Linked DNA regions of Nothobranchius furzeri. The protein of the gene in region 2 purifies or fractionates together with the protein of the main gene of each other region. This does not show direct contact. Links are inferred from orthologs where the notes say so. Each region holds a gene or a part of one and is shown on either strand. Other genes may lie near its edges.

What was found.
Region 1: the proteins of clk2a (region 2) and acin1b purify together in Homo sapiens (affinity purification with mass spectrometry; 3 studies listed by BioGRID and IntAct, counting the BioPlex papers as one, with this or other methods). This does not show direct contact. The link is inferred for Nothobranchius furzeri from reciprocal best matches to the Homo sapiens genes CLK2 and ACIN1.

What each region holds. Positions count from the first base shown.
Region 1 is NC_091742.1:59,494,151-59,502,303, forward strand, and holds part of acin1b (apoptotic chromatin condensation inducer 1b), read right to left. Parts: intron 4,714-8,153; coding exon 4,648-4,713; intron 4,561-4,647; coding exon 4,449-4,560; intron 4,368-4,448; coding exon 4,294-4,367; intron 4,137-4,293; coding exon 2,595-4,136; intron 1,620-2,594; coding exon 1,537-1,619; intron 1-1,536.
Region 2 is NC_091759.1:6,924,701-6,933,562, forward strand, and holds the start of clk2a (dual specificity protein kinase CLK2), read left to right. Parts: upstream 1-3,860; 5' UTR 3,861-4,000; intron 4,001-5,179; coding exon 5,180-5,367; intron 5,368-5,443; coding exon 5,444-5,723; intron 5,724-6,677; coding exon 6,678-6,768; intron 6,769-8,795; coding exon 8,796-8,862. Other genes in the region: histone-lysine N-methyltransferase SETDB1-A, read left to right, coding at 66-89. UniProt on the Homo sapiens protein: Dual specificity kinase acting on both serine/threonine and tyrosine-containing substrates. Phosphorylates serine- and arginine-rich (SR) proteins of the spliceosomal complex.

The DNA.
Region 1 (8,153 bases), on a different chromosome or scaffold from region 2:
AGAGCGCTCTCCTTCCTTCTGCTCTGCGTAAACCTGAACTGGTCACCTACTTGTGCGTAATCAAATGTATGTAGAGGAAAAGATGGAAAAGCTATAGCCATGAGGTTCACTTTTGCCTCAGACCGACTTATTGCTATTTTATGGTATGGCTGAATCTGCGATCCGCTGCCACGCGGACTGGAATAACAAATGCTGCAGTAACATGAGTTGTAGTCAGGTTCATGAGGAGTCACTGGCTGGAGCGGACTCGACTTTAATACGTCATCCCAAAATAGAAGCTAATATGACCTTGAATGAAAAATGTTGTTATAAAACCTCTTAGAAGTTTTTTATCACGGAGGCAGCGCTCATTTCTGCCTTCAGTGTGACGGCACAGCGCAGCGCCGGAGTTTGTGCAGCATGTGCTTATTGAATCAGTATGTGTGTGTGTGTGTGTGTGTACGGCACAGCTCCATGAGCAGCTCCAGTCACCGCGTCTCGTTATTAGCGCTATTTAAACCAATGTTGTAAAATTACTTCTGCCCAGCCCAGATGTGCTCACATGTGCACCCGTGAGCCGTGGTTCCGCTGGAACGCGTCTGACCTCTGACAGACGCACTCTGAACTTCAGATCTTCAGGGCGCTGTTATAGCCTCACACGTTTAGAATGCTGTCCCACAGTCCATGTGCTAATATAATAATATAATAATGCTAAAATGCTCAGATGGGAATCATTTCTTGATTTATTTTGTTACATCCACAATGTTCTGTGTGTGAGGTTTACAATGTCAGAACACCTGCATGAGACAGGGTGTTAATTACAATCTGCCAGAATGACTCACCACCTTCAGATTTCTCCAACACCGATGAAAATGATCAAATACGGGACATATCGGCGTGCGCCAAGCCAGAGCACTGAAGCTTGGCGCATTGTTATTATGAAGCTAGGGCACATGCGGAGGACATACACACACGCGCGCAAAATATACTTGTTTTCGATTGCATTTATTGGGCCCACTTACTTTTTCTTAGGCCCACCCACAAATGAGTTTCTGGCTATGCTAATGGTGACATATGACAGACTTCTCTGAGCTCAGCAGCCATTACACTTTTCACCTCGCGCACCCCCTAGCGGCAGCTCCACACTTAGGGAATCCCTGCTGTAAAACAATGTGAACGGTTGGATTTAAAATGACGACTTTTGTCGTCAATGGCAGTGACAGCAACCCGCTCCTTTGATTCTTTGCAAGATGAATATATTCAGAAACATAATTTGTAGTCCTGACACACTGAAAAGGAAATCTGGGCTAATGTGGAAATGACGCAACAGATATTCCAATGTCACTAATGATTCTCTTTCTTTAGTTGTGCTTTGTTGTGTGTAAGCCTTCAACAGTGTGCTGGCCAGAGTCATAAAATAAATGTAGATGAAGTAGCATACTCATTATAATTTCTTTATTCCCAAAACCTTGATTTAAAATGGAACTGTGGTTTATTTAGTCATAAATTGCTTGTGTCCAGAATTCATTCATCAGTATCTTAAAAACACTCACTGACCTTTTAGAAAGGCTTGGTTTCTCTGACACTTTACCCACACCGGTCTCCTTCTCATCATCTGCCTCTGGTCTCTGGACCGACGTCTGTGGGATGATGTAAAAATAAAAGCCAATGGCACCATCGCAGCAAAGCTTTCTTAAAGAGCAAGTCACCCCCTACCAGATTCTTACTCAACTCCCACTTCCCGTTTGAAAAATGCAACAAATGCTGTTGCCTAGCAGACCGAGAGGGTGGAGCCGCTAGCAAATACACACACTCACGACATTGTGACATCATAATGTACCAGCTAATGTCATAGTGTACCTCTTAGCCAATAGGGATGGCAGATTTAAATTCAAATGCAGTGCTGAGTTTTTACCTGACGACGGTGCAACACTGACAGTTTTAGGCAGAATATTTAAATTTTAACTAAGCTGCACTAAAGTGCCGAATTACTGACTACACGTGTCTGCAGCATGGTCAGACACTCATTTATATAGTTTATCGGCAAAAAAATGTTGATTTGGAGTGACTTGCTCTTTAAAGACACAAAAACAAGACGTACAGTACAGGCCAAGAGTTTGGCCACACCTTCTCATTCAATGCGTTTTCTTTACTTTTATGACCGTTTACCAGGGGCCAACAGGTGCTGAACACCTCTGGGAACTCCTTCAAGACTGTTGGAAACCCATTTCAGGTGACTACCTCTTGAAGCTCACCAGGAGAATACCAAGAGTGTAGAAAGCAGTAATCAGAGCTAAGAGTGGCTATTTGGAAGAAAATAGAATATAAAACATGTTTTCAGGTATTTCACCATTTTTGGTTAAGTAAAAAACTCCACATGTGTTCATTCAGAGTTTTGATGCCTTCAGTGAGAATCTCCCAATGTAAATGGTCGTGAAGATAAAGACAACACATTGAATGAGAAGGTGCGTCCACACTTTTGGCCTGTACTGTACGCGCGTCTACAAGGAGATTAAACAGACTAAACTCCAGTGTTTGGTTGGATGTTTATGTGTGAAGGTGCTGCTGAATCCAGAGAGAGGAAGCGAGAGATCCAGAACAGGGTTTTCACTAACCTTAGGCTGACTGACCGTTTGGGTTTTGTTCCTGTAGGAAGGAGAGGAGGAAGAGGAGGAGCGTGGTGATGAAGAGGAGTCTGATTTGGAGTCAGAATCTGAAGACGAGCCTGAGTCTTGAGTCTCAGCCGCCAACGTACTCTCTTCTTTGGCTTTTTCCTGAGTTTTTTCCTTCTTTAGCCGTTCCTCCTCTCGTCTCTTCTCTTCCTCCTTACGTTTCTTCTCTTTTTCCTCCTCCTGCCATTTTCTCTCCCTTTCCTTTTTCTTCTCCTCTTCTAGTTGTATTCTTTTTTTCTCCTCTTCCTCCTTACGTTTCTTCTCCTTTTCCTCTTCCTGGTGTTTTCTCTCCCTTTCCTTTTTCTTCTCCTCTTCTAGTTGTATTCTTTTCTCCTCCTCCTCCTTACGTTTCTTCTCCTTTTCCTCTTCCTGGTGTTTTCTCTCCCTTTCCTTTTTCTTCTCTTCTAGTTGTATTATATTTTTCTCCTCCTCCTCCTTATGTTTCTTCTCCTTTTCCTCTTCCCGGTGTTTTCTCTCCCTCTCCTCTTCCTCTTCCTGGCGCTGCTTCCTCTCCTCCTCCAGTTGTGTTTTCTTCTTTTCTTCCTCTGGGCGTTTCTTCTCTCGTTCCTGCTCTTGCTGTAGTTCCCTCTCCTTCTCCTCCATCAGATGCTTCCTGTCTTCTCTGCTCTTTTGTGCTCTTTTCGTTTCTGATCCTCGCAGCAGAGGTTCCCTGGAACAGCCGGCAGGGGAGTGTGCCGAATCTCCTGACGAGCCCGGCGCTGCAGACGCCTCCTCTGTCTCCATCTTGTGTACGAGCAGAGAAAGGGGCCCTGGCCTGCCTCTGACGGGGGGTTCCGGGCTGCTGGAGCGAGAGCTTGAATCCGAATCTTTCCTCTGTCTTGCGGAAGATTGGAAAGGCGTCACCTGTGGATCTCGGAGCCCATCCCGCTCCTGATCGTCGGGAGGACTTTGCTTGGGAGTGTCTGGCAAAGGGAAGAGGTTATGAGGAGGTGAAGGAGGAGGCGTGGGGTGGCGCAGCTGCATGGGAGTGGGGTCCACTTGCGGCGGGGGTGGGATGTGCTGCGGAGGCTGAAGCTTGCGTTTGGATCTCGCTGCAGCTGAGGAGTTACTGGGAGCCGCGTGTGGCAATGGGGGAGGCGCTCTTTTCCGCATCCCTGCTCTGCTAGAACTGGACCCCCAGTCCTCATCTTCATCACTATCATCACTGTTGACTTCATCGTCGTCGTCGCTGTCCTCCTGTACGTGATTTCCTGCTGATCTCCCAACAGAGCGACTGAGGTTAAGGGCAGAGTGAGCCGATCCAGGATCAACCGTTTGCTCCTTCTCCTGGGAGCGGGATGCAGCAGGGGGGCCACCGGGCTGTCCCAGGACTCGCACCGACAGGTAGGCGACCGCACGAGGAGGAGAGGGGGCCGGGGCCTCCTTGTGTCCTCGCTGCAGCTTGACTCCTGAAGCTTCAGGAGACTCCTGGTGGTGGAAAGTAGAACCGGGAGCACCCGAGGGTTGGGACGGTAACGTTTGACTCTGCCCGGTACAGAAATAACAACGTTTACATATTTTACAGCATTTCTAATGATTTGGAACAAAATAAATGACTTTAATAATTCTGATTATCAGCTACAGTTCAAATGTGATTTTACAGGATTGTCAGAGCGAATAGACCAGATAAACCAGTACTAACTTTATCTGTAACGTATGATGAGCTGTCTTCGTCTTCAGAATGGTCTTCATCCTCCTCTGGTCCAGCTGGACTTTCTGTCAACAAGAAAACTTTCTGTTTTATTTACTATAAATTACACCATTTAGTTACCATGTGTGTCGCTACGGGTGATGTACCATCAGCCTCTTCTCCCCTCTGGGCCCCTCTCTCAAGCCTCTGATGGAGGAGCTCCTGCTGTTTGGCCAAGTACTGTTTTATGAAGCTGTTCTGGCACATCTCCTCCCCAATCTACACATTAGTACAAAAAGAAAACAAATGACACAATTACCCCAGATATTAAATTTAACTTTTGTTTAACTGGAAATAAACTCCAACCTGAGAGTTTGGCTGCAGCACACTGTGAGAGGAGGATGATTTCTGCAGGTTTTCCAGCATCAGAGCCTGCATGGATTAAAAAAGGAGAGAAATAAACTTCAGCGTGAACATTTGACCTTTAAAGTGTGACATTAACTCACACAAAACTCTGATCCGCCCCACGCCCACACACAGACAGTAACGGATCTCTCTGTGCTTGCTTCATTGTTGCTCACGTTTCTTCGGTATTCCCGAGGTTTTCTTCAGCTCGCCTTTTTCGGTTGAATACTTAAAGTTACTTTTTTCGGAACGTACGTGGTGCATTTGACAAGACAGAGCTGAAAACGGCATGCGTCGGTCACTGCCTCCGGTCGGGTTTTTTTTGTTGCAGTTCAAAGTGGAGTGCATCTAATAAAACAATATTAACATAAAGGTGAGACGTGTCATAATCCCCCCCCCCCCCCAAACCACCACCACAGCTGGAAAAATTCCTAGGGGAAACACTGCCCCTATAGTTGGAACACACACACCGGTCAACCTTCTAAAAGATGGGGACCACCACCCCGGTCTGCCACTCCACAGGAACTGCCCCCGATGGCCACGCAATGTTGCAGAGACGTGCCAACCACGACAGCCCTGCAACATCCATAGCCTTGAGATACCCAGGACAAACCTCATCCGCCCCCGGGGCTCGGCCGCTGTGTAGTTGTTTGACTACCTCAGCAACTTCTGCCCCAGAGATTGGACAGTCCATCCCCAGGTCTCCCGGCTCTGGCTCCTCCTCGGAATGCGCGTAGGTGGGATTGAGGAACTCCTCAAAGTATTCCTTCCACCCCCCACCCCCCCCCCACTATAGCCCCAGTTGACGTCAGCAGCTCCCCATCCCCACTGTAAACAGTGTGAGCGAGTTGCTGCCTTCCTCTCCTGAGGCACCGGACAGTTTGCCAGAACCTCTTTGGAGCCAATCGATAGTCTTTCTCCATGGCCTCACCAAACTCCTCCCATGCCCGAGATTTTGCCTCGGCAACTGCCACTGCTGCACCCCGCTTGGCTATCCGGTACCTGTCTGCTGCCTCCGGACACCCACAGACCAGCCACGCCCTGTAGGCCTCCTTCTACAGCCTGACGGCTTCTCAAACCTCTGGTGTCCACCAGCGGGTACGGGGGCTGCCACCACGACTGGCACTGGCCACCTTGTGACCACAGCTAGCAACAGCCGCCTCAACAATTGCAGAGTGGAACAAGGCCCACTCGGAGTCGATGTCCCCCACTGCTCTCGGGATGTGGTCAAAGCTCTGCCGGAGGTGAAAGTTGAAGACCGTCTTGACAGGTTCTTCTGCCAGGCGTTCCCAGCAGACCCTCACTATGCGTTTGGGTCTGCCAGGTCTACGCGGCATCTTCCTCTGCCATCTGATCCAACTCACCACCAGGTGGTGATCAGTTGACAGCTCCGCCCCTCTCTTCACTCAGGTGTCCAAAACATACGGCCGCAGGTCAGATGATACGACTACAAAGTCTATCATCGACCTGCGACCTAGGCTGCCCTGGTACCAAGTGTACCGATGGGCATTCTTATGTTCGAACACGGTGTTCGTTATGGCCAAACTGCGGCTTGCACAGAAGTCCAATAACGAAACACCACTCGAGTTCAGGGTTCCTACATTGATCAAAATGTCCAGTTTTTCATCCAGGAGCAGGGATCGAATTATGGGGACTAGATATCTTTCAGGGAAACATCCAGCTTCTGCCTATATTACTAGGGATGCACCGATGGATCGGCATTTGATCGTAATCGGCCGATAGCGCCCCTATCGGTTTTGATCGGAGTTTTCAAAATAGATCAAAGCAGACCAATCAGCGTAGGGTTGTCACTGTAACCAGTGTAGCGGTAAACCCCGGTAAAAAAAAAAGTTGACAATAATAATAACCGTCTTGTTTTTTTTAAAAAACTATATTATCTTGGTGGGTTTACCGTGGCTGCGGTGTAGGCGCGGTGACCCTTACCAGCCACCGTATCATCTGCAGAAGTTGCGTGCTTCGTTGTTTACAACCAAAACTTTCTTGAAGCTAAAGCTGAAATAATGTTCAAAGGAGGAGACGGCAGCGCTCGGGAGGACATTTATTATCCCTCAAAGAAGACAAAGTCGGAAGTACGGGCAGTGTTGCCAACTTAGCGAATTTGTCACCATTTCTAACGCCTTTTCAGACCCCCTTAACGACATTTTTTCCAAAAAGCGCCTAGCGACAATTCTGGTGACATTTCTGACCCCCCTCAGCTACTTTGACTACAACTGAGTAGCAGACTTTACCAGCAGATTAGCGATGCATCTGAAGCGACAGGACCGTCCTTCCTTCCAGAGGACCAGAAAGAAAATGATCTGCGCATGTGCTTGCAGCATGATCACGCTACCCCCATTGGCCAATCAAACCTTTTGTGGGTTTTCTTTCACAAGTCCATTATTTGAGATAGCTACCGGAGCTACATAAAGGGCGACCGCTCCTTCCGCCATCCTGCCGCATTTCGGCAGCTGAGCTCGCCTATGGCGTTTAAAGCGTGCCACAACCCGTGCACGCGCATTGGGTCCACAGCGCGCGTGTGAACGGGACTCGCAAGCGCAAATATACATGGCAGCGCGCGTGTGAACGGGACTCGCGAGCGGAAATATACATGGCGAGAGGTCATTTGTGCACTGAGAGGGAGCAAACTGTGTCTGTGAGCGCACAAGGATGTGCACAAGTGACAAACCTGCGTGCGCGCGTTGTCAACGAGCACACGGCAGAGGAAAACGTGCGCGCGTGGCAGCCTCTGTGCGCGCTCGGTTTCTGACTCCTGCTCGCTCGGCTGTAAGGGCTTTTGGCACTCTGGAGGCGTGGCCTGTGGCAGATCTTCTCTGTCCTCTGATTGGTTAGTTTACCCCGCACTGTATCCTCTATCTATATAAAAAAGTCTGACATTCAGTAGTTGCTGGCATAGCTCAGCTGGGAGAGCGGGTGACTCTCGCCCCGGAGGATCCAGGTTCGAGTCCAGGCAAGGAAAATGCAGTAGATGTCATGTTAATTTTTCTTAATTCCAGGTATTTTACAGTTGTGACCGTTCAACTGTCATTAAACGTCCGAATGTTTGCTGGGCAGTGTTTTAAAAAGTGCACATAAGCTAGACGGTTTTAACCATATAAAATTACATTTTTTGTGATACTGGAAAAATACATACTGAAATAACTGCAAACTCCCTTAGAGAGAGAGAGAGAGAGAGAGAGAGATAGAGATAGAGAGAGAGAGAGAGAGAGAGAGAGAGAGAGAGAGAGAGAGAGAGAGAGAGAGAGAAGTTCTTGCCTCATTAATGAATTGTTTATTTTTTTCAGTATTTAATTGACAAATTATCCTTTCAAATAATTAATTGATGAGTTACATAATTGTCCATTTAGAATTGTTGAATGGACTGAGTCAAGTTTGGTGCACTTTATATATTTCAAAACATGTTTTTTTTATTTTAATGATGCATATAAATAATTTAAATGTTAATTTAA
Region 2 (8,862 bases):
TTCATTTAATGGTAAATAATCATTTTCTAGTGATTGCTAATGCCCAGTTTTCCTTTATTTTTCAGAACAATGGGACGGTGAAGAAATGAGCCAGTCATCTTTCTTTCTTTTTTTTAGTTCCAAGGGGAAATAAAGGTTTCCTGTTGAAAGTATTGGATTTTGTGATCAGAGGGAATATTTTTGTAACTATTTCTTAGCAGTGCCAGTTATCATTGCACCTTATTTCTTTGACCAAAAACCAACCAGAACATTCCCTTTGAACCAGCTTGGATCCAGTTAATGTGCTGTTAAATGTTTATGTTTTTACATATTTAGCAAACAAAAGCTGAAAGGTCCTCCTCATTGTGCCTGAGAAGTATTTGATTAAAATGTATTTTTTACAGGTTTTTTTTTGTTGTTGTTGTTGCGCTTTTGTGCAATTCTTAGAAAATATGTTTTTTTTTTGTGTTTGCCTTTTTGTCCAAAACCACACATTATTTTGAAAAATGAATGTGAACCATTTGAACGCCACAAGAGACTCGCATCTCATCTGTTGACGTTATATCAACAAAGTTTCAAATGTTAATTTTGGATGTATTTGGGTTTATCATTATCCTTCTAGAAGGTGAAGGTTCTCAGTCATCCAGGTCATGGTAATCTAAAGGGGTTCGAATAAAGGCAACTGGACTTCATTGGTTTGTTCAAGAGGTTCTCATCTGAAAAGCTTTGCCAATTCTGACTAGAATATGGGAGTGTCAAGCTTATTAAGTTTATCAAGTTTATAAGCTTGACCCTCCCATATTCCAGTCAGGACTGACCAAGCTTATCGAATGAGAAAGACTTGAAGAAACCAAAGAAGTCCAGTTGCCTTCATTAGGACCCTTTTGGATTCCTTTCTAGAAGTCCGTCCATCTATTGTTCTGGGGTAGGGCATGGAGCTTGTGTCTCCAGTGAGGGACACCTTGGACAGATCTTCAGTCTACAACAAGGACACACGGAGACGAAGAGCATGACAAATGGTCATGTACTCATCTTGCATTTATATGTCTGGGAGGAAGTCCACTGATGTATGGCAAGAACATGCTAACTTCACTCCAAAAGCCTTTGAATGGGATTTGGACTGGCGACCTTGCTGCTAAGTGACAGTGCTATAAACTTCACCACCATGCAGCCCTTATGTAGATCATTCTTGAAATACAAGACTGCAGCACTTGGGTCAGCTGCCATGCTGTTTTATAAGTGCTTTATAAATAAACTTGATGATGATGATGAAATACAAGACTTTAAATTTTGTACTGGTAAATAAACTTAGGCCAATAACAAGTGTTTATACTACTGATGTGAACTCTGGGCAAATGCACAGCTGGACATATTGAATACACCCAATAAATGACTGAGCTCCGCTGTTTGTTATTCCCTGTACTCTCACACTGCCTTCGTTGACCAGGTCTTTCACCTGGTGAAATAAAAGAATAACACATTACTGGTCATTTGTCGATGCTTCTAAGAAGGACTGCTAATATGAGCTTGATTGAGAATAAGGATTCTAATTTCATTAAGCCAACTTATAAAAAGAGCCTTGATTTACATTTCTATGTATCTTTGGAAAAAGTACCTTTCAAGAAAATCAGCATTCATAGAATAATTCCTGGTGGATGTACACACCATTCTAGACACACGCATTCATTCCCATGGAACCATGAAAACATAATCAATGGAATTATTTGTAATTAAACCCAAAGTAAATGTGTTTTAATCCTGCTACGAGGTCCCAAGACCCAACATTGTCTTTGCAAAGAACCATGACATTCATAAACAATCTCATCCCCCATGCTAACTTATGTTGCACTTCCGGGTATGGATGAATCCTTCCAGTTAAGGCTGAAAAACGTGAAAAGTGTGTTGCTGCATTTTGCATAACAAAGATATTTTTTGATCTGCAGTTGACATTTTACATTTTTCAAAATGGGGGTTCTGTGGAAAGGCAAATATTAAATATCTTATCGGCTGTAGAAAGTTCTTTGAACAGCCTGTTTGAATGCCTTAAAACCAGATGAAAAAAAATATTTTTGTACTTTGTATAAGCACAAATATTTTGTGGTTAAATGGAAAAATAATGACATTTTAGACAAAAGTACTACAGTATATTGCTCCACAGCAATTATAATGTGGTATATAATTTCAATAACTATCCATTTTCAGCTGCTTATCCAGAGTAGGGTCGCGGGGGTGCAGCAGCCTAAACCGAGAGGCCCAAACTTCCCTCTCCTCTGCCACTTGGGCCAGCGCCTCCTGGGGAATCCCAAGGTGTCCCTACGCCAGCTGAGAGACATATGGCTCTCTCTCACTAGCATCGGCTCCACTGCGCCTGGACTGGGTTGGAATTGTTCCCGCGTGCAACCGGATGTCTTTTCAGCCCTCTTCCCGAAGCGGTCTTCCTGGAGCCGAACAGGGCTGAATACAGCCACTGCTGACTGATTGGCCTGCTCAAAATTAAGTGTACCATTAGGGGAGCCTCCAAATGGCAGATAGAATCAGCCCGTGGGGGCTTACATGCACAATTCATTATTCTGGATGCTGTGGAGTTAACGCCGTTTTACTCATTGCTTTGAGGAGGTGCGCGCGCACACACACACACACACACACACACACACACACACACACACACACACACACACACACACACACACAAACACACACAGTGCTGCCAGACAGCAAAGCAGGATGCAAAAGTAATCAGAATATACAAAAGCAAGACTGCTCAGGCCGCCTTTGTTTAATAATGGAGACACCACAGACTTCTTCGCACTCTTTTGCCCTGCACACGTGCACAGAGACGCGCTCATGACATCACAGGACACAGACTGCCCATGTGCTCATATACATCTGCATTCCTAAGGCGGTGTGGAACGAACACAGCCAGGTTTGGGTAGGCAGAGTGGAGTGGAGCCTCTGCTAGTGTGTAAGTGGCAATAGTCCCTGAAGCGTGTCCTGGGTTTTCTCTTGGGTCTCCTCCTAGTTGGAAGTGGGAGGCGTCCAGGAGGCATCCTAACCAGATGCCGGAGCCACCTCAACTGGTTCCTCTCAACATGGAAGAGCACCGGGTCAACTCCGAGCACCTCCCAGATGACTGAGCTTCTCATCATAACTCTAAGGGAGAGCCTGCAGAGAAAACTAATTTTGGTCACTTGTATCCGCAATCCCGTTCTTTTGATCTCTTCCCAAAGCTTGTGACTATAGCTGAGGGTAGGAACGTAGATAAACCGACAAATTGAGAGCTTTGCCTTCCACCTCAGCTCTCTCTTCACCACAGACCGATACAGCGCCTGCATCACTGCAGACGCAGCACGAATCCACCCATCTATCTCATGTTCCATTTTTCTCTCGTGAATTCAGTAACTATATTTAGTGAAATTTATAGTGGTGTAAAATTTTGCAAGGACTATATTTTTTGAGATTTGAGTCATTTTTAAGTCAACATACATAAGTCAAACTAGCAAGTAGGTACTCTGTATAGTCACAGCATGTCTTTTTCTCTAGACTGAGGCTCATCAAGTTGCTTACCACTAGGAAGATGATAAATGGACTTCTGTTTTTCACAGAAAGAGACTTAGAATATCCAAACCATCCCTCAAAGTGCTAATATATATATATATATATATATATATATATATATATATATATATATATATATATATCTGAACAGAAAATGGTATTTATCAGTACAAGAAAAGGCATTTTATTTATCAGTACAAGAAAGGGCATTTTGACAAGGAGGAATTGCTTTTTTTTTTCAATTAAATGTTTCAACTGCTTGCCATACACCTTGCTCCAGGAATGGTACTGCGTTACAGCGCAAGGAGGCGTTACAGCAACACACACTAGTTTGTACCAGAACTTAGACGGTGGATGGAACCGGAGGGCTAAAGGGTCTGACGATTTAGCAACTAGATAGTAGATACACCCAACTGCCACCACGGATTTTTTATGGGATAAACGAACAGGCCTCGCTGCTAAAACGGTGACTATATTCGTTTTTGAATTTCGGGACGCTGTTTTTGCACTGGTTATGCCGCGGTTCTCACGACAGCTAGCATTAGTTGCCGCGGACCTGACGAACGTAGCTAAGATGGCGGTCAAATTATTTACATTAGCTCTCTGCTAGCGCTGTAAGCTAACCGCTGCCCGCTCGCTAAGTAGCCAGTTTTAACATAATAAAATGTATGTTTCGCGTTTTATGTGTTTCCATGTTGCAGCTGTCCAGAGTGTTATTGTTTATTTTCATGATGCTTAGTCAAATTAATTAAGTTAACAGCAATTTTAGCGAGATATTTAATCATTTTACATGGTCTTGGATTTAGCGAACGTTATTTAAGGAGTTGTCGTTTGCACTTATTGTTAACGTAGCGTCTTCGTTATGCTTTGTGTGCTTTAATTTGATTTATGTGTCGAAGCACACACATTGTAGGGATGTGACATTCCACAAAAATCTCGCTCCAACTTGACGTAGCTGCTATTTTCTCTTTCTGTACCAAGGCTAGCTGGTTTGTCTCGAAACACGAGACGATGCTCGTTATTTTCTCTTCTAGTCTTACTGATTATTTTATGTTGCTATATTTTTAGAGGTCACTCTTCACAACATTAGGTTCAGAGTGACCATTCGGTCTTGAATTTGGGATACTTTTCTTAGTGTTTGATAAACTTTCTGCTAAGTCCCATAAAAATACACATTTTCAGGCCTTTGAGTTCAAATTAATTTGGATTAAAAGGATTGTCACTTCTATGCAAAGCAATGCGAGCTAGTTATTTTTAAACAATTTTACAGATCCCTTTCTTAAAATAAAGCTCAGTTCAATAGGAACTGCCTTTTGCTAGAATAACAATGAAAACGTAACTTCTCCATTAGCCTCTATTCAAAAACAGACAGAATAAAACTGCATTTTTACACTAGTAGATCTCATCATGACAGCTAGCAGTTTGCTTGTTCGTTGGTATTCCAAACTTACAGTAATGTAGAATAATCATTTTGAAGCTTGAGGTAATTTTACGATTTCTGAAATATTTATTTGTGAGATTTTTCATGTTTTCTACCGATGTCCTCTGATAAAACAGCTGACTTTCATTACTTGGCTAAATGTATTGCCAACCTCAAGGTTTTGATTTCAACTCTGATTGATTTGCCTTTCCAACAATCCACTAGATGCCTCACAACAGACGGTACTCATCGTCTGATAGAGACAGTCGCAGCAGCTACCCAGATCGCTACAGAGACAGAGGACGAAGATATCGGCACAGACGATCACCTACGAACTCCTCCAGTAGTGACAGAGACCGCGACAGAAGGGGGCGAGGGCACAGACAGGAACAAAGCTACATGCGCTCAAGGAGGTACGTCTGCATGTGATGTTACATTTATAATGAGATTAACACAGTTTACTGTTTAACATGAATTCCTTGTGTTTAGTCGCAGCTATGACAATCGCTCAACAGAACATCGACCTTTTGATCGACGGTACTACGAGGGATACAGACGGTTGGATCAGAGCCAAGATCGCGACAGAGACAGGGAGCCACATGGAGCAGCCGAGAGCTACTGCCCACGAGACTTCTCCCCGAACATGTACGACTACAGGCGTGGCCGCGAGAGGGAGCGCGAACGGGACGATTCATATCGGCGGAAAGGCAGCAGGCGTAAGCACAAACGAAGGCGGCGTAGAACCAGGTCCTATAGCGCTTCCTCCTCGGTGAGTAGAGCCAGGTCCAATATTGTTCTGTACCTCTTTTTTTTTCTATTTCCGCCTCTAGTTTCCACCTCTACCTCTTTCAGTCTGTCTTTCACTAACCGTTTTCCCTTGCAGCCCGTGGACTCGGTAAGTAGTGAATTCTTTATGATTTGTTTTATTTCTCTCAGTATGTTTTTATTTGTTTTGCTAAACACTGTTATTGTTTTTGGTAGAACATTTTTATTTTTTTAAAACCCTTTTTGTATATTAGTGAAGGAAAATGAAAATTTGAACTTTGTTCACGTCCACGGTGAAATCCCTGATGTAACGTTAAAAATGTTAAATTAGATCCCAGTTTTGAGTTTAAATGAAGTTTGCATTAGAAAAATAAAAATGTTCTCCCCAACTCCATACAAAATGTAGGTTTAATTAGAATTTGGATGATTTACCATGTAAAAGGGCTGGTTTTATAGGTGTTTGTTTAAATGTGGAGTGTGATTATGCACACCTGTAAATTACTCTAATCATGATTTAGTCTTGAGTTTTATCTGGCATAGATTATTTAGAAATATTTCCTGCTGGAGCTGCTATGATCCAGTCATTTTTTATTTTGTTTAATCTGAAATTAGCCTGATGCATTAGTTTTACCACTGGTTTAACTGGTTTTTGCGTTGATTAATGGAAAAGCCAGTTGCCTCTTTGTTTTTGAGCAGCTGTGGTTATAAATTGAAGGGGGGAAAGAAGATGTGATCTTTGACTTGTTCCCTTGCACTATATCCCTATCGTTATATATTTCCTTCACGTGGTGTCATGCGTGAATCGCCACGTGACCACGAAACCCACCTACAACCACAACACCACCCTCCTCCTCCCTCCTCATCTACCTGTGCCACCTGATGCCGTGGCTGCTACTGAAACCCCTGTCCCCTCTGGTCGTGTTCTGACCTGCTGATGGCGGTTTGGGTGTGAATACAGCGGAGCACCAGCCGGACGCGGGCACTGAGTGTGAGGGACGACGAGGAAGGGCACCTGATCTGTCGGAGTGGGGACGTCCTGCAAGAGAGATGTACTCACTGCCACTACTCTATCGTAACCCTTCTCCATATGAGTATAATCATAGAGCATTTACATGACATGGGATTGTCTGATGATGATGATGATGATGCCTTGCTAGAATGCTCTTCGCTCTAGCTGAAGTAGCTGGGTGGATTGCAAAAGGAGTGTTGATGAATTTGAGAGAAACTTTAGATAAATTCTGCCTTTTTGTTCTACGATTTTAACTCTGTGGAGCATTTCTTTTGTGTTTCACAGGTTTATTTGACTTCACAAAACGTAGAATCCAGTTTTTAGCTGTTTGTTTTCTTGTGCTGTAGCCTAAAAGTCAGTTACAGTTTATATAGCTGTAACTCAAGTTAGCTGTTTCCCACAACCAATGTTTTAGGGATTCTAGTTAACTTACACACACTTAAGTAGTCAATTCTGAATTGTACAATTATAACATGTACATTTTTAACTTAAATTTAAAGGCCAAGTTCACTTTTTTAACTTATTTTAGGAATTGATCTGTCACTTTAAAACAAACACGCAGGTTAATCATGAAAAGATCCGTTTCCTGCATCAGCCACTAATAGGAATGGGAAAACTCAGATTAGCAAAGGCAGTCAGCTCTACACACTGAAAATTAGCATTCATGAACTTGCCCAATTTAGCTCGTGACGGGGAAGGCTGTTGTTGATTTATTGTTCTGAAGAGACCAGAGCACATCTCGGCTGGTAGAAGCTAACTGTTAGCATTAGCAGCTCCACCACACAGAACTCCTCCAGGCTTGTGTTATTTGTGGAGATAAATCATCAGCGAGATGTCCGACTTTTAGGAAATACGACTCTTAAGTCTTGCCATTTCTTCTGCTCGCCTTTAATCTGGTTGACATCTGCTTCCTGAAACTAAACTGCAACATTTTTTTTCCACAGAGGTCGACTCACGAGACATTAGTTTATAGCCTGGCCAGCCAGACTCGTCCTGTTTAATTCTGCACAGAGAAAGGGTCTGGGAACGCTCCTATACAAATAACCTCACCCCGTGAGAATTCTAACCGAGCCAATCAGTGCTGAGTATCGTACGTCACACACCACAACGCCGAGTTTGTCGAACATGGCGACTGAACCGGAATTTGCTGCGGCTCTTTCCTTTGTTCTAAATGACTTGGACACGTCTTTAAAACAACATGTAGAAGCGCCAAAAGCCTTTCTTCTAAAGAAAAATGATTGCGCTGTCACCAGACGCCATTTTTGACTACAGTTAAAAAAACTACAGCGTCGCTGATGTCACACACAGCGACGCTCAGTTTCTCAGAAACAACGAAGACAGCGGTGGAGTTTGCTGCAGCTCTTTCATCTGTTCTAAATGACTTGAATGTCTTTAAAATAACAACATGTAGGAGCACTAAAAGAATTTCTTCTAAAAAAAAAAAAATGTTTACGCCGTTGCCAGACATCTTTTATTACTACAGCTAAAAAAAACTACAGCGTTACGCGGTACAGTCAGCATTTCAGTCTTTTTTTCTGATTGGTTATTTTTGAGCTGGCTAGTCCCGCCCCTCTTGTGCCTCTCTGCCTGTGAGTTACCAGACTCTTTCTCTGTGCAGAATTAAACAGAGGACGAGTCTGGCAGGCCAGGCTATTTAATTTACACCAGAGACCGCTGCAAATGTGTAGAAAAAGATGAGTGAACTTGGTCTTTAACTTTTCCTGAGTTAAACAGTTTTAAAAATGCTAATCCGTATCAACCGTGCCATCTGTTTGTTAGCCATCTATTTATTTAGATAAAGACAACACAGCTACAGATTAGTCATAAAATGAGGTGTTTTATAATTGCCCCCTTATGTTTTAATTAGAAGTTGCATTCACTTATCTTAGACTTTGTTTTTTTTAACCTGGCACAGTCAATAGGGAGCTTTTTATTTTAAGTGATGGGTGTTAGCAAAGATTCGCCTATCTGCTGTTTTTTCCTGCTTGAGTCCACATATCTAATGCTCCTTTTTTCTTCTTCTTCCACTTCCCTGTCTTTTCCTTTTCTGTTTTTGTTGTGTTGCAGATGAAATCGTCAGCACTTTGGGGGAAGGCACCTTCGGGAGGGTGATGCGGTGCATTGACCATCGCAG